4 linked regions of the Saccharomyces cerevisiae S288C genome follow. The gene in region 2 interacts genetically with the main gene of each other region. Each region holds a gene or a part of one and is shown on either strand. Other genes may lie near its edges.

Region 1 (8,471 bases), on a different chromosome or scaffold from region 2:
ACAGTTCACATTAATCCTATTGCCTGGCACCGTCTAATGGCTTTCGATAGTCTTCTTTGATTCTTTGCCGATAAGCCTGTGATATCCCTATGTTGGATTCTTCCCGTGGAGGTCACATATCTTGAAAGTATTCTTGGTCTTGCATAAAATTCTAGTGGATTTGCACCGGACTTCATTATATCGTTCCTGTTTGAGTTCTTGTTTGCCTGATATTTTCTATCTAAATGGATTCGTCCCATAGAGAAGTCAAATGGATCGTAGATAGTACCTTTGGGAAGTTTTTTGGACAAAGACTGATCGATTTTCTTTGTTTGTTGCGTTCTCCCCATTTCAATATTGACACTCTTCTTTTCTTTGATACCGAAATTGTATAGAGCACGTTTAAATGTGGAGCTTACTGCTCCCTTGATGATAGGTTGCATACCGTTTTGAATTTTTATGCCTGTGGTGGCATTCATCTTGAACATCCGAAGTTTTGTGTAGAACCTTGCCTTTTTGGTTAGAACTGTAACACTGTTAATAATGGACTCATATTTAAGTATGTAAAGTAATCCTAGATATTTTTTCCCCCAACAGGTTACCCTACAATGCAATTTAAAGGCATAATAGAACATCTAATAGAAGTGGGTGATTATAATGAGTAAGAAGACGTAATGATCATAAAACAAAATACTAATAAGCTATGGTGCAATGCAAGATCCCAATATTTGCCAGCATTGCCAGTTGAAGGATAATCCAGGCGCATTAATTTGGGTGAAGTGTGATAGTTGCCCGCAGTGGGTCCACGTGAAATGCGTGCCTTTGAAACGCATTCACTATTCAAATCTTACAAGTTCTGAAGTTCTGTCTTATCCAAATTCTGCGAAGCAAATCAAGAGCTACCGTTGTCCTAATCATAAGGAAGGAGAATATCTTACCGCATACGCTCTCATCACACAAAAAGGAAAGCGGCAAAGGAATAAAGAAAACCCTGAAGATAGTCATATAAATAAGCGGTATAATTTCAGAAAGAAGAAATTACTTGACTATATCGCTTTGAATGAGGGTGAATCGAAAAGGGATAAAATGAATCACCCTCATAAGGAGAGTTTCATGAAATCTTTTGAAAAATGGAAAAATGGCTCAAATATTATAAACGCCGCTGACTTTGCTGAAAAGTTTGATAATATAGATGTGCCGTACAAGATCATCGATCCACTGAATAGCGGAGTATATGTACCGAATGTGGGCACAGACAATGGATGCCTCACAGTTAATTATATCACCGAAATGATAGGCGAGGATTATCATGTTGATGTAATGGACGTTCAATCACAAATGAATGAAAATTGGAACTTGGGATCTTGGAATGAATATTTTACAAATACTGAACCAGACAGGAGGGATCGAATAAGGAATGTTATATCATTAGAAGTCTCTAATATTGAGGGATTAGAACTAGAGAGGCCCACTGCAGTTAGGCAGAATGATCTTGTTGATAAAATTTGGAGTTTCAATGGACATTTAGAAAAAGTCAATGGGGAGAAGGCGGAGGAGAATGACCCCAAGCCAAAAGTGACCAAATATATTTTGATGTCTGTAAAGGATGCTTATACGGATTTTCATTTGGATTTTGCCGGTACCTCTGTTTATTATAACGTTATCTCAGGACAGAAGAAGTTTTTATTATTTCCACCTACCCAATCAAACATAGATAAGTATATTGAGTGGTCTTTAAAAGAAGACCAAAATAGTGTTTTCCTCGGTGATATTCTTGAGGATGGTATTGCGATGGAATTAGATGCTGGTGATTTGTTTATGATTCCAGCTGGATATATTCATGCAGTTTATACACCAGTAGACTCTTTGGTATTTGGAGGCAACTTTTTAACCATCCGTGATTTGGAGACACACCTTAAAATTGTGGAAATTGAAAAGTTAACAAAGGTTCCTAGAAGATTTACCTTCCCGAAGTTTGATCAAGTGATGGGTAAATTATGCGAGTATCTTGCGCTTGATAAAAATAAAATCACTAGTGATGTCAGTGATGGGGATTTGCTTTCCAGGACCACTAATTGCGCAATTCAATCACTTCATGCATACGTTATAAAACCTGAAGTTAAGTACAAGCCGTTAAATTTCACTTCAAAGAAGCATTTAGCGAAAGCTTTAGCCGATCTTATTTCGTAAAATTTCTTCTTGTCCGCCACGTTCTTGTATCTTTTATTTCATCCTATGCTCTCGATGAATGAGATCTACTTTAGCAATTGATACAGTATAACCCTGACATTACATTTAGGGAATAATCGCCCCAATATAGGTTACAAAACATTAATATATATGTAAATATATGTGCGCGTATATATATATATATATATATATAAAGGGAAAATTAATATTCTATCATTAAAGTGAAGAAGAAAGGTGGATTTAAATTCCAAGTCTTTTCAATTGTTCTAAACGTTCATCAATGGCATGTTCAAATTGGTTTGAAGTATTTGTCCGCTCACTTAGTAACTTGGCATGAATACATTGTAGCGCTTTTATGGAGTCAGATTCATTGATAACGCAGGATATGTTTATTTCATTTGCCCCTTGAGAAATCATTTCAATGTTGATGCCTTCTTCAGCAAGAGTAGTAAACATGGTACCAGCAATGCCGATGTATTGTTTCATATGTTTACCAACTAATGAAACAATAGACAACTTCTTTGTGATATCAACAGAACCTAAAATTCTCAATTTTTCCTCAGCTTGTCTCAGAGATTTTAATGAGTCTGCATCTGGAATGGGCAAAGCCATCGAAACATGAACTTCAGAAGTAGATATTAAATCTACGACTAACTTGTACTTATCCAGGATGGTAAATATTTGAGCTAGGAAACCATGGGATAGGGTTTTCTTATTGGAATGAATGTTGATGACGAAAATGTCATTTTTGGTGGTGATAGCAGTGGCACCTCTCTTTCTCTTTTCATAGAAAGATGAGGATAAGTTCTCAGGAGGATGTGGTGGAGTAGATTCACCCTTCTTTGCTACATTATCTGGGTAGATAATGGTACCGTTACCTAATGGATTTTGAACATTCTTGATTCTAATAGGAATCTTAGCCCTAATAACTTGTTCCATCGTAAAAGGATGTATAACTTCGGAACCATAATATGTTAATTCAGAAGCTTCTTCTGGAGTAACACTGTCTAGCAAACGTGCTTCAGGAACCTTACGAGGATCAGCAGTAAATATACCATCAACTTCCTTCCAAACTTGTAGTTCATCAGCATTTACAGCAACTGCTATCAAAGCGGCACATAAATCGGTATAGCCACGACCAACACCATTCAGAAGACCAGTTGGAACTAAACCAAAAAACCCTGTAAAGACTGGAACGATACGCTCTTTAGCACTTACAAAGGGGGCCAATTTTTCTTTCAATGCTTGAACCAGGAAAGTGTAGAAACTGTTATCCAAAGCGCTGGCACTGAAATCAGAGGGAACAATGTGGCTCAAATCCACATATTTGGCCTTACAGCCACGGTCATTACATAAAGCAGTCATGAACAAACAACTCAACTTCTCACCACATGACATCACCAGATCTACTGTACGTGAACTCACTTCACCCAAAACTTTTGAAGCATTTAAATATTTCTTGACCAGTTCAAGTTCTTTATTGGTATCATCCACTAACTTGGCTTGCAAGGCAGGATTGAGAATGAAGCGGTCGGCATTATCGATATGGTCTTGTCTGATAACTTCGATAATGTCTTGAAATTCAGATTCTTGCGAAGCCAAATCACAACATTTCAAAAGACGAGAAGTGGTACCTTCAGCCTTGGTGTATGAAGAACGGGCGGAACAAACGACAGCGACATTATTGTTTGGGCCGTCAGGTTTAGAATAGTGCTTCACAATGTCATCCACTATTTGGACGGGAAATTTACCGACAGATGTACCACCGAACTTTTGCACGACCCAGTTCGAATGACTTGATGTAGGTTGGAAATCCATTGGCATGTAAAAGTTAAAAAAAATGAAAGCTTCTGTGATAAAATGCGATAGCTATGTGAGCTTAAGCGATGGAGAGAGTATTGGCTACACAAATATCCTTCAATGAGTAGAGCACTGTTAAAATAGAAATAAAATAATTATCCAGCAGTATTCTTATATATGGATATTATACATTATTTCTTCGAAGCTAAAAGAATCTCTGGAGAAGACTGCGTACGGAAAGTGAAAAAAAAAAAAAGTGATGATGAAATTTTCGTTTGCTAGTGAAAAAGAAAGAAAAGGTGAGTCATGGGCCTGAAAAATACACGTGGTTAGAGCCACAGTAGAGTAAAAAGTTGATATTAGGGGAGTTCTAGAAAGAAAAGGATCCTGTGAGACCAATGACAGTGATTGTAAATTGTGGGAGTGATATTTGATGTTACTATCAAATAAGGCCTCAGCCTCTGAATATGTTCACCTAAAAATTGTAGAAGATTCAATCGCGAGCGGCTGGCAAGTTTGGGCATGCATCGAGTATTGCCGTATATCGAAACTACCTTATAAATGTGTTTCTGATATGGCACTTTCAAAGTTTTCCTGGGCCTGTTCTTGGCTTGAGAAATTTGGCAATCATAACAAAACTCTTAGTATGAAAAGAAATTGTAGGACGAATATTTATTAAGACATATGCAAAGAAGAACAAACTATAAATGCCGGTCATTTACTAACTTTATGAAATCCTGTGTATACAATATTCCTCTAGCACAGAGTGTTTACGATAAACCTTGCCGATTGAATCGATCAGCTAACCGGTGGTTGGTAAGCCTACATAAGCCTTGAACGAATCGTAAATTAGCCATTGGAAACTTGTCAAAGTACCGATCATGACAATTCTCACCATTAACCCATTCCACAACCCAGTAAAGCCAATTTTTTGATATATTCTTTTAGAGGCTACAGACATGGACTCGTTGGCCTTTCTTTCGCTATTGATCTTGGAAACCATAACGTCTGCAGGATGTGAGACTGCAGCACATAATATACCTGCCAGATAACCACCTACAAAACTGACTGATATTTGCTGTAATGCGTTCATTTCTTCTTTCTTTTTAGGTAAAACACTGTATATTTTTTGAACAATTTTTTCGAATGAGGTAAACTTACACATTGTGTAAGGAATCTGTCTGCACCATAGGGGAACAATACCTTTATAAAATGCTTTCATACCTCCACTTTCTGCATACATTTTTTTCCATCCATCAACAACGTTATTGCAAAAGGGCGGCATAGTAGTCTGCTGTTTCACTTTAATAGCTTCAAATGGGCACAACATGATATCAGCGAGGAATTCAGCGGTCGCTGAGGCCATCAAGTACACAGTGACACCAGGACTTAACCAACTAGAATACAAATGCTTGAAATACTCATAACCACCATACTTACCTGCACCTTGTAGCGAATATCCGACGAATGTAGCACCAAACCCAGTGTATACTTTCTTCCAGCCTTCATTAGCTATAATCTTACGGAACCCTTGTAAGTTTGAAGTATACAACTTGGGATTGACCTGTAGCCTACATTTGACAAGATCTAGTGGAGTGATCGAAGAATGTGTTGGACCGCACGCAATTATACCACCTAAGGTACATGTGGCATAAAACTCTTTCGTATATAATTGGATTTTACGTGGTTGTTTATTGGACTCCATGCTTTACAACTGTCAATGAGTCCGTTCTCTTTTTCCCTTACTTTATTTTTTTAGAATTAAAACAATAACAGAACACTTTCAGTTAACAATGTGTCATTGACTGCCTGGAAAAAAAAATAAAATATCTATAAAACACAAGCAAAATGAAAGTATATTTGGTAGGTCCCGCTGTATTTATATCAAATGTAACAGGGTATGCAGAAAATCGATATATCCATTTTCCTTTTTATTAAGCAAAATGAAACTAAAAACAAGGAATAAACCTAAAAAAGATCTCCTTATTTCGCTAATACCCCTGAAGTCCAACTTTTGGTTAGCCGAGATCTTAGCCGAATGAGATTGTGAAATGCAACCCAAAGTGACCGTTGTTGCTAGCTAGCATATGAATGAATCTAAGAACTGGAAAGGCAAGTTAAGGGCCAAAAATAATGACTTGAATATTTTGCAGTATCTACGTTGAATTAAAGTATTCTTCGTAAGCGGTACTTTTCACTTGCTACTTGTCACCTTATTACCTATGTGCTGAGAGGGTAATGGTACGATGTTCCTTTTTGACACAATGCGTCTTTTCCCTATGCTGTAACAAAAAAAACAAAGGCCGAGGTTCGGATTTCTTAGCAGATCACGTGCTGACTTTTTGGAATACACCGTTAAAATTCTCACACGGTTAGTATTTACATTTTTTCAAGAATAGGGTTTTGCCGCTTACCTTGATATGCGGGCGATTTTGCGGGATTTCTGACATCTAATAACTTAGTAGTCATTGAAGGAACAAAGTTTTAGTCTTATTCGGATGTTTCCCTTCTTATTTTCGAAATGAAGCTTTTTGGAGAGATGGGGATAGGTGGCTTTTTGTGCCTTCCTCGAATGTCTAGCCGAGTCTTGCGATGGAAGGGCTAGACAGCATGTTTTAGAGATGTAGTAAGTTATATTATAATCATATTATAATTGCCTAAATATAGACGTATATCATATACAATAGCAAAAATACATAATTACGAACATAAAAATGAAAATAACTTTGGTCAAACAGCGTGAGCTGTCAAACGTATAAATCTTAAAAAACGTGTATTAAGTATGAGCTAAGAAGGCGCTCATCAATAGAAAACCGGATTAAAAACATCGAAAATTATTGAAAAAATATTAAGTGTAGTGTGGAAATGAATGAGTAGAAAAAAGATAAATTAGAAAACAGAACATCAACTTCGTAAATAGTAAAACGCTAAGCCAGACTAGGTAGAACTGACTTTGCATACCTCTCTTGGCGGCAGTAAGCAGATTAGCTGATTTAAATCACTGCAAGTAAGGAACATCGCTCTTGTTTCTGTTCATGACTGTTCTATGAGCACCAAAGTAGAAAACGAAAATGAAAGCGAAAATACTCAAAAAAATCTCTAAATCTTGCATTGTAGTGTGTACTGTGTAGTAAAGCTATTGTTTGTTTTTATTATTTCTATGTAGAATTCTGTAAAAGGACGAAAAGAATGTTTCCAAGCAGTATGTCTACCTCTGTCGTTGTAGAAGGGATTCCTACTTCTTTATATACAAAATGCACATCGGTAGAAATATCTAATTCTCTATTTAATTGAATGCATAAGGGGTACCAAAAAATCTCTCTTCACGTCTTATAGCTGAACAGTTATCGGATATAGGCTACCACATAAAAGAACAGGGATGTCCTAATACAGCAATCATTTTTTTTTTCATTACGTAAAAAGTAAAGTAAACCATCCATTCTCCCTTCTTTCAGTCAAATGCCGCAGTCCCTTACATTTCAAACTGAAGCGTCGGGATGAGACTGTAGAAAGAAGTAGGAGTAGTATGCAAAAAAAAAAAAAAAAAAAAAATATAACCTCTGCCGGAAGTGAAGGCACAAAAATAGCTCTCTCTAAATGGGCGGTGGAAGGGTGTTCAAAAGTAAAGAAATATAGGCGCACTTCTGAAGTCATCGTAGGTGAATAAGCAAGTCTTTATCGGCATGTTCGGGGTTTTTTTTACCAATGACGATTTCTGTCACTTAACTTTTTAGGCCTTCCGTGGTCGTGTCATAGCAACCCCTAGTTTTCTCTTCACATTTTGTCGCGTTTCCGTCGCACAGTAAGAGCTGTATAGCGTTGAATGAATGTAAAAAATGCTCACTGAAGGACGGTAGCCTTTACCAGTCTTTTACGTGCCGAATGCACATTTGTATATACGCCCACACACATCGAAGATCGGCTCCCGATTTCTTGTGAGATATTTATCTGTTTATTTGCTTATTTGTGATTTATGTATATTTACTTGAAATATTCTAGCATGTTTTAGAGTTATTTATCGGAGTTCGGTCCCAATCATGAGAGTAACTCAGGCCAAGATCTAGCAAGTCATTTTGCTTTTTATGTCCATTCTTCATCTCCTTCCTTCTGGTTGCCTTCATGCTGCCGCCGCGAAGGGATCGTTAAAGCCATCCATTACAACATCCACCTTATAATTATTCCCGTTGTTGTTGTCCCAGTACTCTTCGCGCTCATAGTCGTTACGTGTAGAATAATGAATGCAAAATTCTAACTTGCCGCGAGGATCCACTTTGCTGACATCATCGATAATGAAGTGGAAAATGTCCATGTTAGTGCCCGGCAATATTCCATCGCCATCACTGATGTAAACGCATTCCACTTCATGTGTTGTTCTCCAACTATCCCACGTATATCGTACCACCACTCTTTTATCATAGAAAATGTTTTTCACTAGTATCCTTCCAGCAATTAATCTTGTACAGCCAGCGTTATAACCCTTGGCCACACCATTACAGTCATTA
Region 2 (9,193 bases):
TAAGGTCACCCTAATCATTATAATAGTTGTGTGCATGGTGGTATTGCTTGCTGTATTAAGTTAGTAATCTCCTTAAACGCGCATTGAGCACAGACTTTCTGGTAGACCCAATCTTATCTATTTACGAAAACAAGAGTGTATAAGAGTGTATAAGTTATTTTTTGCATTTATTCTTTTGTGGTAGGGGGGTTTCTTAGCCGCTCTTTTTGACTCAAAATTTCCTTTGATGTCTAGTGATAGTGCACTTCCCATGTGCGCAACCTGTGTTTTTTGTACTCCGTAGTTTAAATGCAAGGGCTCGATATGCCCTTTTTCCTTTTTCTACTTTGTACGATCTACACTGACCTTTTTTCAGTAGTCCGTAAATCCCCACGAATTTCTACTAGCGACTGCCAATAAAAAAAGGATTGTGCTACTGTATGTAAAAAGTAAGAACCCTGTTATTTTCCGTTAACTGTCATTTGCCTTACTGTTGCTTAACGGCCGCCAACCGTTATCAAGAAACAAAACATTGTATGCGTTGTCTTCTAAATGAACCTTGTGGGCCCTGATAAACATAAGAACGTGTCTGGCTCGGAAGTATTTATCTTATTTCAATTTTCGCTTTTGCAGAACATCCTTGCCTGTCACTAAGATAAGGACAGAGCGTGGATTAATAAAAATGGCAGAATTTCTCGGCAAAAAAAGAAATCATGCATAATTACCTCGATGTGTACGTTATTGCGGGCACGATCCTGTCGCTACGGCCTGATAGTAGCGGCTATTCTGCTGGCGAAAATTTTCAGCAGTTTGAAATCTTACTGTGGCGTCCCGGTCCAGCCGAGATGACATCTAACTAAGAAATGTCCGCTGCGGCACACCCACGCCGTTGCAGCTAAAGTCGCGCACCAAGCACAGACCTGCTGGAGAATGAGGAACAAGGTTGCGTTAAATGCTTCGGGAAGAACTGCCGAACCGAACCGCTAGAAAAGTGCGCAGGTACCCCGATCGAAGCGGCTCGGCGCTCATTTTAGCACAATCAGAAAAAGGAAATTGAAAGAAGAAAAAAAAAACATAATCATTAACAATTCTTTTCTTGAGATATACGTATATATGACGTCGTCATGTAGTATCTCTTTCGGGATACCCTTTGTAAACGTCCCTTTGTGGAGATGAAAAAAAAACTTGCTGAATAAAGATAGTTAAGGCGCTAGTAATCAAATTAATAACATATTATACCACATCACATCTATACCATTTCCGTTGCACATTGCTTGAACCAGTTGCCAAAATTGACTAAACGGATTTTTACAAAGTCAACGGTGATCACTAAAAGCAAACAACTCAAGCGACGAGGCAAGGAAAGAGAAGAAAAAAAAAATATTACATTGGCTATATAAATATCAAAACATCTTAGGTAAGGCACCTTTGATACATAAAACGAAGAAAATTCAGCACATGCCAGATGGCGAGTGTACCAAGTCTATGCGACATACTGATACCGCTAGAAAAGAATAGTCGCAGCGACGGCGATGCTGAAAGTAGCAATACAGTGCTGATTCAACTGCGAAAAGGGCATCACGAACGGATGCGTTCTCCTTACACAATACAAAAGTTTTACAAATTTCTAAAAAGAGCTCATTGTGAGGAAAATTTAGAATTTTTCGAAAAAGCTCATCAGTTCCTCCAGCTTAAGCAAAACAGGAGTATTAGCGAGGAGAAGCTCTTGGAAGTTTGGAACAAGTCGTTGTACATAAAATACATTGCCGTGGACTCCCCCAAAGAATGCAACTTTTCACAGGATACTAGGGAGATATTTGAGAAGTGCTTTGCTAACAATGAAGTACCTGCCGACGTAGACGTCCTGTGTGCCATTAGCCATGTGATGGGCCTATTAATGGACGGGTATCACCGATTTGTGAGTTCTGTTAATGAGAAAAAGTACTCCGCCACATATGCCCACAATGACTCTGCTACGGAACAAGATCTCAAAAACGAGTCTACAACTTCTTTTTCGTCATTAGGCGTGGAGGATATTTCTGAAGATAGAAATTCGTATCTTAAGAAGCCTGATATCAATGGTTTGTCAACTATCATTCAAGAAACGTCTGCAAACACGACCAATGAGTCGCAATGCAGCGATCGCACTTCTCGGCCAAGCGAGTCCTCTTCCTCACTCAACACTACCAGCTCGACCTACAAGAATACCAGCACTAGAAATCTGCAAAAACCGCAAAATACAGGAATTCTCAACTCGGGGAAAGGTTTATTGCAAAAACTTAACTTTGTTAAAAAACGGAAATCTTTCAAACAGCCTTCAGGCGTCATTTGTAGCCATTATAACAGCAATGTTCAAAACCGTTTGAAAGGACAAAACAGTCATCAACAAAGATAGCCTCTTCATCATCTGTGGAGACACAAATATCTTCATCCTCATCGCCATTACCCAATAAAGCGATCGGTAAAAATGAAAAAAGCGTTGAAAACGGCTTTAAAAAGCTAAATTTGCATGATATCAGTTAATCAAGATTAGAACTTTGATTAAGTAGAACAACGATAGAAAATCCGCTTTTCTGGCTAGTTCCCTCGTTTCATATTAATTCATTTCACACAATTTACTTCATTTCATCACGCTCATATTGTTTGTAACTTTAGTTTTTATTTAATTTTACGTACATGACACTGCATATAATTATTTCACAGGCATTTAAAATAAGAGCATTGGGCACAGTCTTCTTTTATATGTTGTCATATTCAAACACTAAACATTTATCTGTATAGTAATTAATGTTAGCTCTTCCTTCTGCATGGCGCTTGTTATATACTTCATTCGTCTATTTTGGTGCCGCGCGCCATCATGGTCCGGTAACGGTCGTAGTGAATGACTCATATTTTTCCATCTCTTTCGGCCTTGCCAAAAAATGAAAAAAAAAAAAAAAAAAAAAAAAAAAATTAAAAACGATGTCCAGAATCACAACTACAACATAGTTTTGCCTCTTACTGGCTTGATTGGAAGTTAGCTGTTAAATTTCAATAATGCCTTACTTTACTCCACGAAATCACAATCCTTGTTTTCGGCTTATAAGGGTCTTCTCCTTAGGATAATACTATCGGCACATTATCATTTAGCCGCGTAGCCATGGTAAAACATTCGTTCATAGCGCTAGCTGAGCATGCTAGTAAACTAAGAAGGTCTATCCCACCCGTCAAACTGACTTATAAAAATATGCTACGGGACCCATCGGTAAAATATAGGGCGTTTGCTCCACCAAAAATGGTCAAGAGGATTTGGCCTGACAAAACTATTCAAAAGGCTCCACGTTGGCTGTCTACTGACTTGAGGGACGGTAATCAATCTTTACCGGACCCAATGTCTGTGGCTCAAAAGAAAGAATATTTCCACAAGTTGATCAACATCGGTTTCAAAGAAATCGAAGTGTCTTTCCCCTCTGCATCTCAAACAGATTTCGACTTCACCAGGTATGCTGTAGAAAACGCTCCAGATGATGTTGGTATTCAATGTCTTGTCCAATCTAGAGAACACTTGATTAAAAGAACCGTGGAAGCATTGACTGGTGCTAAAAGGGCTACCATACATACTTACTTGGCCACAAGTGACATGTTCCGAGAAATTGTCTTCAATATGTCTAGAGAGGAAGCTATTTCTAAAGCTGTAGAAGCCACCAAACTGGTTAGGAAACTAACCAAGGATGACCCTTCCCAGCAAGCTACTCGTTGGTCCTATGAGTTTTCTCCCGAATGTTTCAGTGATACGCCAGGTGAATTTGCTGTAGAAATTTGTGAAGCTGTTAAAAAGGCTTGGGAACCTACCGAGGAAAATCCGATCATTTTCAACTTACCAGCTACTGTAGAAGTTGCCTCTCCAAATGTTTACGCTGATCAAATTGAGTACTTCTCTACCCACATTACTGAGCGTGAGAAGGTCTGTATTTCTACGCATTGTCACAATGACCGTGGTTGCGGTGTCGCCGCCACAGAATTAGGTATGCTTGCAGGCGCTGATCGTGTAGAAGGTTGTCTATTTGGTAATGGTGAACGTACAGGTAATGTTGATTTGGTTACAGTTGCCATGAATATGTATACCCAAGGTGTTTCTCCTAATTTAGATTTCTCAGATTTAACTTCAATTTCTGAAATTGTCCATCGCTGTAACAAGATTCCAATTCCCCCAAGAGCCCCATATGGCGGTGAATTGGTTGTTTCTGCCTTTTCTGGTTCTCATCAGGATGCAATTAAGAAGGGATTTGCAATCCAAAACAAGAAACAGGCTCAAGGAGAAACTCGGTGGAGAATTCCATACTTACCATTGGATCCAAAGGATATTGGACGTGATTACGAAGCCGTCATCAGAGTCAACTCTCAATCCGGTAAGGGTGGTGCTGCTTGGGTTATTATGAGATCTCTAGGATTAGATGTACCAAGACCAATGCAAGTTGATTTCTCCAATACTCTACAGAAAAATGCAGATGCCTTAGGAAGAGAGTTAAAATCCGAAGAGATTACAAAATTGTTCAAAGAAACTTACAACTACAACAACAATGAACATATATACGTCACCTTGTTGAATTACGAAGTTAAGAAATTGAACCCAGAGCGTAGAGCTTTAGTGGGCCAGGTAGAAATCAACGATAAGGTTGTCAACATCGAAGGCTACGGAAATGGTCCTATCTCTTCTTTGGTGGATGCGCTATCCAATTTACTGAATGTTAAGTTGAGCGTTCAAAACTACTCTGAACATTCCTTGGGTTCTGGTTCTGCAACCCAAGCGGCATCTTTCATAAATCTTTCCTACATAAAGGACATCAATAATCATGCTACTAGTAATATGTGGGGTGTTGGTGTCTCCGAAGACACTGGGGATGCATCTATTAAGGCGGTATTTGCTACTGTCAATAATATTATTCATTCCGGGGATGTTCTACTGGCAGAGTAATAGAAAGGAGTAGCTTATGATTACTCATGTTATATATATATGTATTTTTATTTATAAATGGCACAGAAAAGTAACTTATTTCACGTTAAAAAGACATCTTTCAGCGAAGTTTCCAAACACTTCTTCGATGTCTGTGTGGAAAGTTTCTTTCGTTTATAGTTTTATTATTTTTTTTTGCTTTTTTTCCCATGGTACCATTTCCTTTCGTGAAACATTTTACCCAGGCCCACCCACCGCATAATCTTAACTGAATCCGAATAGGGATTTTTCGAGCACTACTGCAACTGTTGAGTGAGCTAGGAGTAGTGTAATTTGAGACTTTGTGAAGGGAGAACAGTCAATATCCAATATCATATTAAGAAAGCTAGCAGTACCTTAAGAGGAAGAAAGAAAATAACTGGGGCGAAGAATATCTAGTTATCCACTCCTTCATAGAATGATTATCTTTGTTTCAGAAGAACCTGAAAGGAGGCTAGCCATTGTATCCAACTTGTATGCTCTTGTTCTTAAACCGGTTGGGAAAAAGCCATCTGATAAACCCCTTTGTGCCATTGAACTTCTTCAAAAAAATGATTTGAAAAAATATGGCTTCAAAAGACTTACATCACACGAAATTTTTGGTGTTATCGGACTCATTGAGGTTAATGGCCTGCTGTTTGTTGGTGCCATCACTGGGAAATCAAAAGTTGCACAGCCATGCCCAGGAGAGACTGTGAACAAAATTTTTGCTGTCGATTTTTTTTGTTTAAATGACAACAGTTGGGATTTTATTGAAATCGACTCCTCAGGTTATCCTGTGTTGCCGGAGACTGCTTCAACTGAATATCAAGACGCCTTGCCAAAACATCCATGCTATGAATTGAAGAAACTATTATCCAATGGATCTTTTTATTATAGTTCAGATTTTGATTTGACCTCAACCTTACAGCATCGTGGATATGGTCAGCATTCTTTGAGTACAGATACCTACGAAGAAGAATATATGTGGAACTCTTTTCTCATGCAAGAAATGATCACATACAGAGATCATTTGGACACAAATTTGAAACAAATCTTGGATGACGAGGGGTTTTTAACAACAGTTATCCGTGGATTTGCGGAAACTTTCGTCTCGTACGTTAAGAAGTTGAAAGTTGCTCTTACTATCATCTCGAAACAGAGCTGGAAAAGAGCAGGAACAAGATTTAATGCACGTGGTGTGGATGATGAGGCAAACGTTGCCAATTTCGTAGAAACGGAATTCATTATGTATTCTAGCCAATACTGTTATGCTTTTACACAGATTAGAGGCAGTATACCTGTATTCTGGGAGCAAGGTACCTCTTTAATCAATCCAAGAGTACAAATTACAAGATCATTTGAAGCCACCCAACCGGTATTTGACAAACATATCATGAAATCAGTGGAAAAGTACGGACCTGTGCATGTCGTTAATTTGTTATCAACGAAATCTTCTGAAATTGAACTTTCAAAACGATACAAGGAGCATTTAACTCATTCAAAAAAATTGAACTTCAACAAAGATATATTTTTGACAGAATTCGATTTTCATAAAGAAACTTCGCAAGAAGGCTTTTCCGGTGTCAGAAAACTCATTCCATTAATATTGGACTCTCTTTTATCTTCTGGCTATTATTCTTACGATGTTAGAGAAAAAAAGAACATATCTGAACAACATGGCATATTTAGGACCAACTGTTTAGATTGTTTGGATAGAACAAATTTAGCTCAGCAAATTATTTCTTTGGCTGCTTTTAGAACTTTTCTCGAAGATTTCCGATTGATTAGTTCAAATTCGTTCATCGACGATGATGATTTCGTTTCTAAACATAACACCCTGTGGGCTGATCACGGTGATCAAATTTCCCAAATATATACTGGTACTAATGCTTTGAAGTCCTCATTTTCAAGAAAAGGTAAAATGTCACTTGCTGGGGCATTATCAGACGCCACAAAATCGGTCAGCAGAATATATATTAACAATTTCATGGATAAAGAAAAGCAACAAAATATCGATACTTTGTTGGGAAGGTTACCGTATCAGAAAGCAGTGCAACTTTATGATCCCGTAAACGAATACGTAAGTACGAAATTACAAAGCATGTCTGATAAGTTCACATCAACCTCCAACATTAACTTGTTAATAGGATCATTCAATGTTAATGGCGCAACCAAAAAAGTTGATTTATCAAAGTGGTTATTTCCAATCGGTGAAAAATTTAAACCCGATATTGTTGTTTTAGGTCTTCAAGAAGTTATAGAACTATCTGCGGGTTCGATTTTGAACGCTGATTACTCGAAAAGCTCTTTCTGGGAAAACTTAGTGGGTGATTGCTTAAACCAGTATGATGATAAATATCTGTTGTTAAGAGTAGAGCAAATGACTTCTTTACTAATTTTATTTTTTGTTAAAGCAGACAAAGCTAAATACGTCAAACAAGTGGAGGGTGCTACTAAAAAAACTGGCTTTAGGGGTATGGCTGGGAATAAAGGTGCAGTGTCTATAAGATTTGAGTACGGTGCCACTTCATTTTGTTTTGTCAATTCTCATCTCGCAGCAGGAGCTACGAATGTCGAAGAACGTCGAAGTGATTACGAGAGCATAGTTAGAGGTATTACTTTCACTAGAACTAAGATGATTCCTCATCACGATTCGATTTTCTGGTTAGGTGACATGAATTATAGAATAAATCTACCGAACGAAGACGTCAGAAGAGAGTTGCTCAACCAAGAAGAAGGATATATCGATAAACTGTTGCATTTTGATCAACTTACCCTAGGTATTAATTCTGGCAGTGTATTTGAAGGCTTCAAAGAACCAACTCTCAAGTTCCGTCCAACATACAAGTATGATCCCGGGACAGGAACTTATGATTCTTCTGAAAAGGAAAGGACGCCGTCATGGACAGATAGAATTATTTATAAAGGGGAAAACTTACTTCCTTTATCTTATTCAGATGCTCCGATAATGATTAGCGACCATCGGCCAGTTTACGCAGCATATAGAGCAAAAATAACTTTTGTTGATGATAAAGAGAGACTATCTCTCAAGAAACGTTTATTCACAGAATACAAACAAGAGCATCCCGAAGAACCGGGTTCTCTGATATCGGATCTTCTCAGCCTTGATCTGGATAATAAGAGCACTGATGGATTCAAAAGCTCTTCTGAAAGTTCTCTACTTGATATTGATCCGATAATGGCACAACCGACAGCGTCCAGCGTTGCTTCTTCGTCACCTGTGTCTTCAGCATCGGCTTCACTACAACCTGTCAGAACTCAAAACAGTAGCCAGTCGCGTACCCCCATAAAGAAACCGGTATTGCGCCCCCCACCCCCACCTGCTCATAAATCTGTATCAGCACCTGCTCCTTCAACATCGAAGGAAAAATCACCAACACCACAGACCTCAACTGCATCGTTGTCATCTGTGACTAAAAATATACAGGAAAATAAACCATTGGCGCAAAATAGACGAATTCCACCACCAGGTTTTAGTCAAAATATATTAACTCCAAAAAGTACCAGTAACTTGGCTTCGCCTATGTCTTCTAAGGTTGATTTATATAATAGCGCGAGTGAATCTACACGTTCAGCCCAAGATGCAAGACAACAGACACCTACAGCATTTGCAGCATCAAGAGACGTCAATGGGCAGCCCGAAGCTTTGCTAGGTGATGAAAATCCAATTGAGCCAGAGGAAAAGGCCAAACTAAACCATATGACTTTAGACTCATGGCAGCCATTGACCCCAAAATGAGAATATGTTATCTTTGAAGTGTGGTTGTTGTTCCGTTTGTATCCCTTTAAATGAACGAAGAGAAACAAGGGGGCTAACCTGGCCAGGTTGTTTTATGTGATTTTATTTAGATAAATATTTATATAAATATTCAGTGAGAGAAAAGGAGTGCGTTAATAAGGCGCGCCGGGTTTAAAGCTGAAAAATAGGACACATTAATATATATACGTTAAATATTGGTGAATACTTATGGGCAAGGTGGAAGAGAATCTCTACTATCCATAAATCCTCAGTAGGCTTTCCCCTAATTACCTTCATTTTTCTACCTCAATAACATATTACTCCTTTTCAATACATTTTATGGTGGTGAACACGATATATATCGCAAGGCATGGATACAGATCCAACTGGCTTCCGGAGGGTCCATATCCTGACCCACTTACAGGAATTGATAGCGATGTTCCTTTAGCAGAACACGGAGTCCAGCAAGCCAAAGAGTTGGCCCATTACCTTTTGTCCTT
Region 3 (4,020 bases), on a different chromosome or scaffold from region 2:
TCTATCTTTTCGCAGTTATCATCTAACCCGGAAAAGTTTCAACAAGACTTTAGCCTTTTAATGGAAACTCCCACTAGTTCAGCTTAAACAAAATAGAAAAGCTTCAACAGAGGAAAGAATAACGCAAAACCACCCTTTTCACTAAGATGCTTTATGAGCTGATCGGACTTGTTCGCATAACCAACTCCAATGCGCCAAAGTTGGAAGCAAAAGAATTGTCTTCCACAATCGGGAAACTGATTATTCAAAACAGAGGTGTGGTGAGGGACATTGTACCCATGGGCATAAGGTATCTTCCTAAAATAATGAAGAAAGACCAGGAAAAACATTTTCGAGCATATCACTTTTTAATGCTGTTTGATTCATCAGCTGCGGTACAGTCTGAAATTCTAAGAACTTTAAAGAAAGATCCCCGTGTCATAAGATCATCCATCGTTAAAGTTGATTTAGATAAGCAGCTGGATAGAGCCTCATCGTTACACCGTTCTTTGGGGAAGAAGTCTATTTTAGAATTAGTGAATGAAGATTATCAATCCATTTAGGTATAGCGCACAGGTTTTGACTGGGGACGCTACAAACACATGTAAATACATACATATCTTTCATACACATATAATAAACAAAGCAGGAAGAGCATTCTAAAAGCCTCACTTAACATAGACACCATTAAAAGCCACCCATTTATTTCAAAAATTTATAAAATTCTAAAGATAATCAGTGGTATGTGATTAAATAAACTACATGTATATTATGCTAAACGACAATCCTGACTAAGAAAAAGAAAGAAAAAGATATATATTTATATGTATCTACATAAGACCAACCGTATCCGTAATTGCAGATAAAATACTCATTAAGCCCTCTTTACACCTAGTGACGTTATAGACGTGGCGGACGAACGAGAAACAGAAGTAGATCCATCAAATAACGAAGGGCTTACACTGGGTTCATCAGTCATATTAAGATCAAAGTCAAGTTCCAAGTTGGACAAAGGGACACTTTCGATATCGTTTGAATCTGCAGCCAATGGATCACTCTTTGATATATCGTATTTCTCAATTGAAGTGTATGACCATCTGCAAAAAAGAGATGTATCTACAATTGGTAAATGTGTGTACTTTGTGTACTGGAAAATAACGTATGACAGCACAGAACCTGCCATAAGGTCTACAAAATAATGGTGTGTCAGATACATAGTTGACCACCATAACCAGCAAACATAAGCAATAAACAAGGGCTTCAATTTTGGAAAACAATAACAGAAAAACAGGGCTTCCATAGTAGCACACCCGGAATGCAGTGAAGGAAAAGCACCGAAAATGACGGAGGAATTTGAAAAAGCTGTAGTATACATATTAATACCGAGTAGCTTATCAATTCTAGCTAATCCACCAGGCGAGCCATGCATATCATAGTTGGCTGATTGCAATCCATAGAGAATTTTATACCATGGGGGAGCGGCTGGAAAGACATTTTGCATGATAACACCAAACAGGTTCATATAACCAAATGCAAAAGCATAACCTTGCAAAACAGTTGGTGGACCAAATACGAATAAGATGGCAGCAACGACAAATGGGGCCCCAAAATGAAATAGTCCGTACGGTAACCATGCTAAAATGTCCAAAAAGGAATTCGTCGATGTTGCAAGAATATCACTTAAATTGTCGCCGTATAAAATTGTTTCCACCGCTGGTAACACTTTGACAGTAATAGGAGGCCTGCGGTCATCTGGAAAGTACGATGAAGTGAAATACAGCGCCACCCATGTTAGGATGGGCAAGGCATTGAAGAAAAACTGTGACGTAGCTGGAATGATGAATAAAGTGCCCAAGAAACAATAAAAAAGGATCTTGAAGATCCAAGGTGCGGGATTAGTAATGAACACAAACAGCATGATGGATCCCAAGAAGATGTAATGCACCCAGTCGCTTAAAGCGGGTTTGTATTTTTGCACCTTCAACAACGTTTGATGGGGATCTAAACTTGTTTCTAAATCGGCTACATGGCAGTTTGGAGGTCTCTCTGATAGAAACCATCTCGAAAAAGGGTTTGCCATACGCAAAGGAATGATTAAAAGCTTTTTAAAATATGAAAACCGCAACCTGTAGGATATAAAATAAAGTACTTTTGGAGAAAATTCAAAGATCCTTGGGCCAAAAGCTATACCCAAAGTAGCTCAGTGTGAAAAAGGAAAAGGATAAACTTATGAAGTACTTAACAACAACCAAAAGTGAGCGATCGGACTAACCAACTACCTAAGAGATGTAGCAGTAGAAATCCTACTCTGTTGGTTCACGAACAAAAGTCGCTAGTGTTCTTACGCTATGGTAACTGAAGCAAAAAATACGCCTCTGCAGTAGTACCAAATCAGAAAACCACTTTGTAACAAATATGAACACTGATGGGCACTTTATTATTCTTTGACAGAAAGAAATAAAAAAGCGATGACCCGCCAAGCAATGAAGTTGATATTCTTTTGTTGTGGTTTTTTTAGCTCATTTTTGTTTTTTCCTTTTTTCAGTTTTAGGATCACTCTTCACGAATAACTTTTCATATCATTTCTGGGAGCTGGGGAGAGATGGATACTATTTCACAAGACATGCAAAGGGATGCCCAGACTGCAGTTTGGCCAAAAGGCTTGCAATGAAAGAGGATAGGTTGACGAGATCTTAGTATTTTGACTTGTTCTATACACAGGGAGCTATCGATTATCCTAGGTTCTCTTTTACTTTTAGCTTTTATTTAGTTTAAATTTATTATGTCTGTCCGTACTTCTTCAAGATCTAATAAGGGTCAGAATAAATATATTGAGTATTTGTTACAGGAGGAGACTGAAGCACCAAAGAAAAAAAGAACTAAAAAGAAAGTTGATTCAGCCATAGAGAAGAATAAGAAGTCTGATTCTTCTCAGGAGCCAAGGAAAGATACTGAAAATGTAAGAACAGACGAAGTAGACGAAGCGGATGAGGGCTATGTTAGATGTCTGTGTGGGGCGAACAATGAAAACTACGATGCTGCAGAATATTCGCATGGCGACATGGTACAGTGCGATGGCTGTGACACTTGGCAGCATATTAAATGTATGACTGATGGTAAAGACACCATAGATGGGCTAATGAGTGAAGATTCTAAGTACTACTGTGAATTGTGCGACCCATCATTGTATGCACATTTGGAAACGTCAAAGGAGGCAGAGGTTTCAGAGGATGAAGATTACCATGATGATGTTTACAAGCCCGTAAATGACCATGATGACAATGATGCAGATGTCTTTCTTGATGAGGAAAGCCCTAGGAAACGAAAAAGGAGCCCCGATAGTGCCAAAGGAATTCATATCAAATCCAAACAGGTGAAGAAATCCAATGGGTCAAAAAAAAGGAATAAAAGCATTGATGCCGCCAAGTCTGATACTGCCGAAAACGAAATGCCTACTAGGAAAGATTTTGAAAGCGAAAAAGAACACAAACTGAGGTATAATGCAGAAAAAATGTTCTCTACCTTATTTAGCAAATTCATCGTTCCCGAAACAATTGAGGCAAAACTTTATGAGCTTCCTGATGGGAAAGACGTTATATCGATATCGCAAGAGTTTGCGCACAATCTGGAAGAAGAACTTTACAAAGCTTGCCTTAACGTCGAGTTTGGTACTTTGGACAAGATATACACAGAGAAAGTGAGGTCGTTATACTCTAATTTAAAGGATAAAAAAAATTTGGAACTGAAGGCACACGTTGTCGAGGGCAAATTGCCTTTAAATAAACTGGTGAACATGAACGCATCTGAACTCGCAAATCCTGACTTACAAGAATTTAAAGAGAAAAGGGATAAGATTATCTTAGAAAATTTTATCGTGGAGGTACCTGACAAACCCATGTACGTTAAGACCCACAAGGGTGATGAGCTGATCGAAGATATCGCTGAACCTCAAGAGGATATTTTGTACTCAAAAGACAGCATAAGATTACACAACATTGACAGTATCGACAGCGATAAGAGTAAAATAGAACAGACTCATGC
Region 4 (7,157 bases), on a different chromosome or scaffold from region 2:
TATATCTGGCGGTACCGCTCAATGATTTTCGTTCACGGTATGGTATATGTTGTTTCGTTCTTGGATCTCTATATTGTTTTGCCATACCAAAGTCAACCATGTATATTAAATTGGGATCATTATTAGAAGAGGAGGCACATGATTTAATGACTTTTCCTTCAGGTGAAATTCTTTGATATTGAGAAATTAAAAAGTTATCGGGTTTAATATCGCGATAGATTAAGTCGTGATCATGAATTGCTCTAACTCTATCAATCATTTGCTTGGCAACCATACAGGTTGTTTTCACTGAAAATTTTCTACCACACCACTCAAAGAGATCTTCCAATGATGGCCCTAGTAAATCGATAATCAAGATGTTGTGCATACCTTCTTGACCAAAATAATAAGCATGGGGAATTCCAACGCAGCCATTCAATATCCTATAGGCTCTAAATTCGTCACGCAACTGGGGTGCGTCCGAATGTCGCGGTTCGAATTTAATTGCGACTGGCTCGTTCGCCATTATTATACTAGAGTCCCTCTTGCTACCGGTCTGCGCTTGACAAGAATGAAGAATGTTCTCTCCCTCAAATATTACTCCGAAAGACCCTTCGCCAATCTTAGGTCCTACAGCATAATGAATACCTACAATGTGTTGTGAAGATCGTTGGGACATCTTTCCTTATCGTCCTTTTACACTTTTTCTTCAGAATGAGATACCACTTTTGATTAGTGGACCGTAGCACGTATACCCTTAAATAGCAGACAATTCTTGCAAAACGGATTTCCTTCTTTTTTAAAAAACAGCAAATAATACCAGTACCTAGATGTTACGAATGCTGTTCCCCTGTTACTCTCTAAGCTGCCCTTTTCAATTCACCTATAGAATGTTTAAAATTTTACTTTCAATATTGGTATTATCTATGACACAAAAGGAAAAGTAACATCGTTTGGTCATTTTCGACGACACGGTAAAGTTTCGAAAAAAAAAAAAAAAAAAGAAAACAACTATTCTTCGTAAACACGATTTAGCTGGCATTTTATAAAAGGAGATCAAGGCGATAGCAAAGAAAGGGTATTTGTTAAGTACTTGTTGATCCGGTCTTCTTGAGCAATTTAGTATACACATAGCGACAATGAGTAACGATGAAGGAGAAACATTTGCCACGGAACAGACTACTCAACAAGTTTTTCAGAAGCTAGGTAGCAACATGGAAAATCGAGTTTGTTTTGATTGTGGTAACAAGAATCCTACTTGGACTTCGGTACCTTTTGGTGTGATGCTGTGTATTCAATGCTCTGCTGTGCATAGAAACATGGGTGTTCATATCACCTTTGTAAAGTCTTCTACATTAGATAAATGGACAATTAACAATTTAAGAAGGTTTAAGTTGGGTGGGAACCATAAGGCTCGTGATTTTTTCTTAAAGAACAATGGGAAACAGCTACTAAATACAGCAAATGTTGACGCGAAAACAAAATATACGAGCCCTGTTGCTAAGAAATATAAGATACATCTCGACAAGAAGGTTCAAAAGGATATGGAGTTATACCCATCAGAATTAGTCTTGAACGGTCAAGATTCTTCGGACTCACCGTTGGACACCGATTCAGACGCTTCCAGGTCGACTTCCAAAGAAAATAGTGTTGACGATTTTTTCTCTAATTGGCAAAAACCAAGCTCCAATTCCAGTTCTAAACTCAATGTAAATACAGGCTCTCTCGCCCCAAAAAACAACACCACAGGCAGCACACCCAAGACCACTGTCACTAAAACGAGAAGTTCCATCTTAACGGCTAGCAGAAAGAAACCGGTATTAAACTCGCAAGATAAAAAGAAACATTCAATTTTGTCTTCGTCAAGAAAGCCCACTAGACTAACCGCAAAGAAAGTCGACAAATCACAGGCAGAAGACTTGTTTGATCAATTTAAAAAAGAGGCTCAACAAGAAAAGGAGGACGAGTTCACTAATTCGTCTTCTAGCACCAAAATTAGACAAAATGATTACGATTCCCAATTTATGAATAACAGTAAAGGCAACAATAATAACAGTATAGATGATATTAATACCCAGCCTGATGAATTCAATGATTTTTTAAATGACACTTCAAACAGCTTCGACACAACTAGAAAAGAACAGCAAGATACTTTAACACCCAAGTTTGCCAAATTGGGATTTGGTATGACCATGAATGACGCCAATGATTTGGCAAAGCAACAAAAAGAATCTCAGAAAATAGCTCAGGGACCAAGATATACGGGCAGAATCGCGGAAAGGTACGGCACACAAAAAGCTATATCATCTGATCAATTATTTGGTCGTGGCTCATTTGATGAAGCAGCAAACAGGGAAGCGCATGACAAGTTGAAAACATTTGACAATGCTACATCAATTTCCTCTTCTTCATACTTTGGAGAAGATAAAGAAGTGGATGAATTTGGTAATCCCATCAATAGTAGTGGAAGTGGAGCAGGGAATTTTGATGGCCGTAATTCTAATAACGGTTTCATCGATTTTAATGCCTCCGCAGATGATGAATTGCAGATGTTGAGAGACGTTGTAGAACAGGGTGCTGAAAAACTCGGTAGTTATTTAAGGGACTACTTAAGAAAATAAGTTTAATTTTCTCTTTAATTGAATTTTTTTTTTTTCATTGTTATCATTGTTTTTTATTCTCATTTTTCATTATATGATAATTATATTTATGGTACATAGAAACGGTTGTATATGCATTGTACGTGCGTTTATTCTTATTCTTCATCCCCCCTTATCTTAGTTTAAGGTTTCTAAAATCGAAAGTTTCATGTGCGTATGAAGCGGTTGAAAATGCAGACGAGGTAGCATTTGGTTCATTAGCATTATAAACACTTTGCTTTAAAGAAGGTAAGTTATTTTCGACATCTCTGTTTCTAATTGCTTCATCGTCCACATAGGGAGAGTCTATACCCACTTTCCAAAACGAGTTCATTACTTGATTACCATATTCGTTAGAAACACTTGCATTTAAACTATCACTTGCCGCAAGGGCGTAGTAGTGCGCATCCTGTTGCATTTCTTCGCTCTTTTCCTCTGCTGGCCTTGAATTCTTGTCGTGCCAGCGCGATAAGCCCATGTTACTATATTGTCAATATGTGAGTCCCTCGTTCACTATGAGACCTAGCAAAAAACAAACTGAAAGTAGGTGGCTGTTTATGTATTCATTTATTTATGGACCTTTTAGGCGCGACCCCCTCGCAAGATCTTCGTTAATGTGCATCCAAGACCCTCCCCTCATTTAGTAGACCCCGCATTGTTATGGTTAATAACGGATAGTTATTTGCCCAAGATAGCGCCTACTACACTAGGGAAACCGAACATGAATAAATTAAACAAGTAATATGTTACAACAGTGGTATAGTTATCGATTATTCTCCTATTTAAAAAATAAAACATATAAAAAAGTTAGGAAAGTATGATCTTTTAGTTCCTTGTTCTAGTATTGTAAAGGCTACAGAAGGAAACAATAAAAAAAGATTGTAGAAAAACAAAGTAAAATAAAGACTGAAAGGAAGGAAAGGGCAAAACACACACATATATAAATATATATTTAGAATACAGCTATATCCTCAATCTCCCTATTATCTGTAGAACCATCCTAAAACCAAGATAAGGAGTGCAACCAATATGAATATACCCATGCTGGATGATTCATTTTCTGCAGGTACGGTTGCGGCTTCCTTTATCTGGTTCTGTGGGGCCGGAGTGCTGTTGGACGTTTGCTTCTCATTTTCATGAGGAACGGTTTTCTGAACGACAGGTGGGACCTCTTCTTTCTTTACTTGGACGGGAGGTTGAGTTTCCGGTTCAGCAGGGACCTCCTTTTCGTTTACCACAGCAGGCACTTCCTTTGGCTCACTGTCTTGGACTACTGGTTCAACAGTTTCCTTGTTTTCCTGTATATTTTGGTTCTGTGCTGGGTGTACATCTGGACTTATCAAATATTTGACTTTTATCTTTTTAGAGATAGCCTGTTGCTTGAACTCAGCCTCCAAGTCGGACCAAACATCTGCAACAGCCTTGCCATTGAGGTCGTAAGGAGAAGGCAACGTGATAACCAGGAACTTGTCACGGCACTTAAAGTCTGCGGCAGGCTCTTCAGTCAAACCCAGGAAGATAACTTGAACCTGGATTGTTTCACCTGGAGCAACAACTGCGGCGTTTGGTCTCACGCAGTAAAACTTTGGGGCTGTGGTCTTGACCTTAAATGCAATGGTTTGGTCTGAATTGTTGGAAATACTAGCGTATTCTGTCGATTGCTCCGTTAATGGAGACTTATACACCAACACGTCAGGGGAAATTTCAACAGCAGACATACTTAGGTTCGCGGAGATTGTAGAATACCCTTCTGCTACACTATTAACACAGAATGTGCGTCAAACCACACCACACAATAAACAATGCACTTTGCTACTAAAACCATTCTATTCACCTTGCGAAAACAACAAGCGAAAAAAAAAAAGCGAGGGCGAAAGAGTAAGATCACCACGCACGTTTAGGGGATCGGAGAGCTTATCTATACAGCAACTAGAAGTATATAGAACAACAATGGTCGAACGACGGGTTAGTTTCACAGCTCAATAACCATAGAAAGGAATCGTGCATCATATGGTAGCTAGTATTAGATCAGGTGTGCTGACACTTTTACACACGGCGTGCGGTGCTGGTATCCTGGCCATGCCGTACGCATTCAAGCCGTTTGGATTAATTCCTGGAGTGATAATGATAGTGCTGTGTGGGGCGTGCGCTATGCAAAGCTTGTTCATACAAGCTCGTGTAGCTAAATACGTACCACAGGGGAGGGCCTCGTTCAGTGCTCTGACGCGGTTGATTAACCCAAATCTAGGTATTGTGTTTGACCTAGCGATCGCTATCAAGTGTTTTGGTGTGGGCGTCTCTTATATGATTGTAGTTGGGGATCTGATGCCCCAAATAATGTCTGTGTGGACCAGAAATGCTTGGCTGTTGAACAGGAACGTGCAAATTTCACTGATCATGCTTTTTTTCGTGGCCCCGCTGTCTTTTCTGAAGAAGTTGAATTCGTTGAGGTACGCTTCCATGGTGGCCATCTCTTCTGTAGCGTACTTGTGTGTTTTGGTGTTGTTGCACTATGTAGCACCATCAGATGAGATTCTTCGCTTGAAAGGCCGGATCTCCTACCTCCTGCCACCACAATCGCATGATTTGAACGTGCTAAACACTCTTCCAATTTTTGTCTTTGCCTACACATGTCACCACAATATGTTTTCAATAATCAATGAGCAGAGGTCAAGCCGGTTCGAGCATGTGATGAAGATTCCACTGATAGCAATATCTTTGGCTCTCATCTTATATATTGCGATCGGCTGTGCTGGATACCTGACATTCGGCGACAACATCATTGGAAACATTATCATGCTGTACCCGCAAGCGGTCTCGAGCACCATCGGCAGAATAGCGATTGTGTTGTTGGTGATGCTGGCGTTCCCACTACAGTGTCATCCTGCAAGAGCTTCAATCCATCAGATTTTGCAACACTTCGCCGAGGAAAATGTAAGTATAAGTGCTACATCGGCGGATGAACCCACTGTTGCTACCGAAAGTTCTCCGTTGATTCGCGACAGTAGCCTTGACCTCAATGAGGTAATTGAAGAAGAATCTATTTATCAGCCTAAGGAGACTCCATTGAGAGGCAAGAGCTTTATTGTTATAACGTGCAGCATTTTAGTTGCATCATATCTTGTCGCCATTTCGGTTTCCTCCTTGGCCCGTGTACTGGCCATTGTTGGGGCCACAGGCTCCACTTCTATTTCTTTCATTCTGCCCGGGCTCTTTGGCTACAAGCTTATAGGAACTGAGCACAAGACAGCCGTGCCATTGACGACAAAGATTTTCAAATACACAGGTCTTCTCTTGTTTATCTGGGGGCTAATAATCATGATCACCTGCCTGACCGCAGCTTTGAAGCTAAACTAAATAAGCAAGAGTATACTCATTCTTTTTTTGCTATTCCTCCATACGTACATAGACCCTTGAACCTACATATCCGCGTAAGAAACTATTAATAACCTAGCACCTGCGTTAAATCAGAAATTCTTAATCGCGTTTTACATTCCCAACGCGTTCAATCTATTTACACACAACAGCTTTCGGAGTCGGGCTTTTGCTTCATACGTATTATAAAAATTTCAGCGATTGCTGAAATATGCAAAGAACACAGGAACACGAATAAAGTCATTGAGCCTCGTTTTCAGTGAGGTATCATTGTCTATCATATCAGCTTTCTTTGCTCAACAGAATCGCTAAAAGAAAGGGCGTGTTATTAACAGTAGCCAACCCAATAATTTGAAAACAACATTGGACATTATAGATCAACGCCATCTTTTCAGAAACACCAAAAATCACGTTTTCAAAATATGTCAATATCATCAAAGATAAGACCAACTCCTCGTAAACCTTCACGTATGGCTACCGACCATTCTTTTAAAATGAAAAAATTTTATGCCGATCCTTTCGCTATATCATCAATTTCTTTGGCAATTGTATCGTGGGTCATCGCCATCGGGGGCTCCATCTCATCTGCATCCACCAATGAATCCTTCCCACGTTTTACTTGGTGGGGTATAGTATACCAATTTCTAATTATTTGTTCTTTAATGCTGTTCTATTGTTTTGATTTAGTCGATCATTACAGAATCTTCATCACCACATCTATTGCAGTGGCATTTGTGTATAATACAAACAGTGCAACGAATTTAGTGTATGCGGATGGTCCCAAGAAAGCTGCTGCTTCAGCAGGTGTCATCTTACTTTCCATCATAAATTTAATCTGGATTCTGTACTACGGCGGTGATAATGCTTCCCCAACCAATAGATGGATTGATTCGTTTTCCATTAAGGGTATCAGGCCTTCGCCATTAGAGAATTCTCTTCATAGAGCTCGTCGAAGAGGCAATAGGAACACAACGCCTTACCAAAATAATGTCTATAATGATGCTATACGAGACTCAGGCTACGCGACACAGTTTGATGGATATCCACAGCAGCAACCTTCTCACACAAATTATGTATCTTCTACGGCATTGGCTGGTTTTGAGAATACTCAGCCAAATACTTCAGAAGCCGTTAATCTTCACTTGAACACTCTACAACAACGTA

What was found.
Region 1: mutations in INP53 (region 2) and HOM3 together harm fitness more than expected from each alone (negative genetic interaction), as found in Saccharomyces cerevisiae (3 studies listed by BioGRID).
Region 3: mutations in INP53 (region 2) and AUR1 together harm fitness more than expected from each alone (negative genetic interaction), as found in Saccharomyces cerevisiae (2 studies listed by BioGRID).
Region 4: of INP53 (region 2) and SCS2, extra expression of one rescues a mutant of the other (dosage rescue), as found in Saccharomyces cerevisiae (2 studies listed by BioGRID).

Annotation. Positions count from the first base shown.
Region 1 is NC_001137.3:253,966-262,436, forward strand, and holds HOM3 (aspartate kinase), read right to left. Parts: upstream 3,994-8,471; coding exon 2,410-3,993; downstream 1-2,409. Other genes in the region: mitochondrial 37S ribosomal protein bS18m RSM18, read right to left, coding at 6-422; JHD1 ([Histone H3]-lysine-36 demethylase), read left to right, coding at 691-2,169; PIC2 (Cu/Pi carrier), read right to left, coding at 4,772-5,674; YER053C-A (uncharacterized protein), read right to left, coding at 6,968-7,081; GIP2 (Gip2p), read right to left, coding at 8,087-8,471. UniProt on the Saccharomyces cerevisiae protein: Phosphorylates aspartate, the first step in the biosynthesis of amino acids that derive from aspartate (the aspartate family of amino acids), including methioinine and threonine, the latter of which is a precursor to isoleucine.
Region 2 is NC_001147.6:519,909-529,101, forward strand, and holds INP53 (phosphatidylinositol-3-/phosphoinositide 5-phosphatase INP53), read left to right. Parts: upstream 1-5,369; coding exon 5,370-8,693; downstream 8,694-9,193. Other genes in the region: SNAP receptor VAM3, read left to right, coding at 1-64; GTPase-activating protein RGS2, read left to right, coding at 1,445-2,374; 2-isopropylmalate synthase LEU9, read left to right, coding at 3,119-4,933; transcription factor TFIIIC subunit TFC7, read left to right, coding at 9,033-9,193. UniProt on the Saccharomyces cerevisiae protein: Dephosphorylates a number of phosphatidylinositols (PIs) like phosphatidylinositol 4,5-bisphosphate (PtdIns(4,5)P2), but also phosphatidylinositol 3-phosphate (PtdIns(3)P), phosphatidylinositol 4-phosphate (PtdIns(4)P), and phosphatidylinositol 3,5-bisphosphate (PtdIns(3,5)P2).
Region 3 is NC_001143.9:433,619-437,638, reverse strand, and holds AUR1 (inositol phosphorylceramide synthase), read right to left. Parts: upstream 2,060-4,020; coding exon 854-2,059; downstream 1-853. Other genes in the region: mitochondrial 37S ribosomal protein bS6m MRP17, read left to right, coding at 147-542; BYE1 (Bye1p), read left to right, coding at 2,762-4,020. UniProt on the Saccharomyces cerevisiae protein: Catalytic component of the inositol phosphorylceramide synthase which catalyzes the addition of a phosphorylinositol group onto ceramide to form inositol phosphorylceramide, an essential step in sphingolipid biosynthesis.
Region 4 is NC_001137.3:398,314-405,470, reverse strand, and holds SCS2 (phosphatidylinositol-binding protein SCS2), read right to left. Parts: upstream 4,337-7,157; coding exon 3,602-4,336; downstream 1-3,601. Other genes in the region: casein kinase YCK3, read right to left, coding at 1-658; GLO3 (ADP-ribosylation factor GTPase-activating protein), read left to right, coding at 1,119-2,600; YER121W (uncharacterized protein), read right to left, coding at 2,752-3,096; AVT6 (aspartate/glutamate transporter), read left to right, coding at 4,629-5,975; osmosensor SHO1, read left to right, coding at 6,416-7,157. UniProt on the Saccharomyces cerevisiae protein: Acts as an endoplasmic reticulum (ER) membrane anchor for cytoplasmic proteins via binding to the FFAT motif of targeted proteins. Regulates phospholipid biosynthesis by modulating the subcellular localization of the transcriptional repressor OPI1.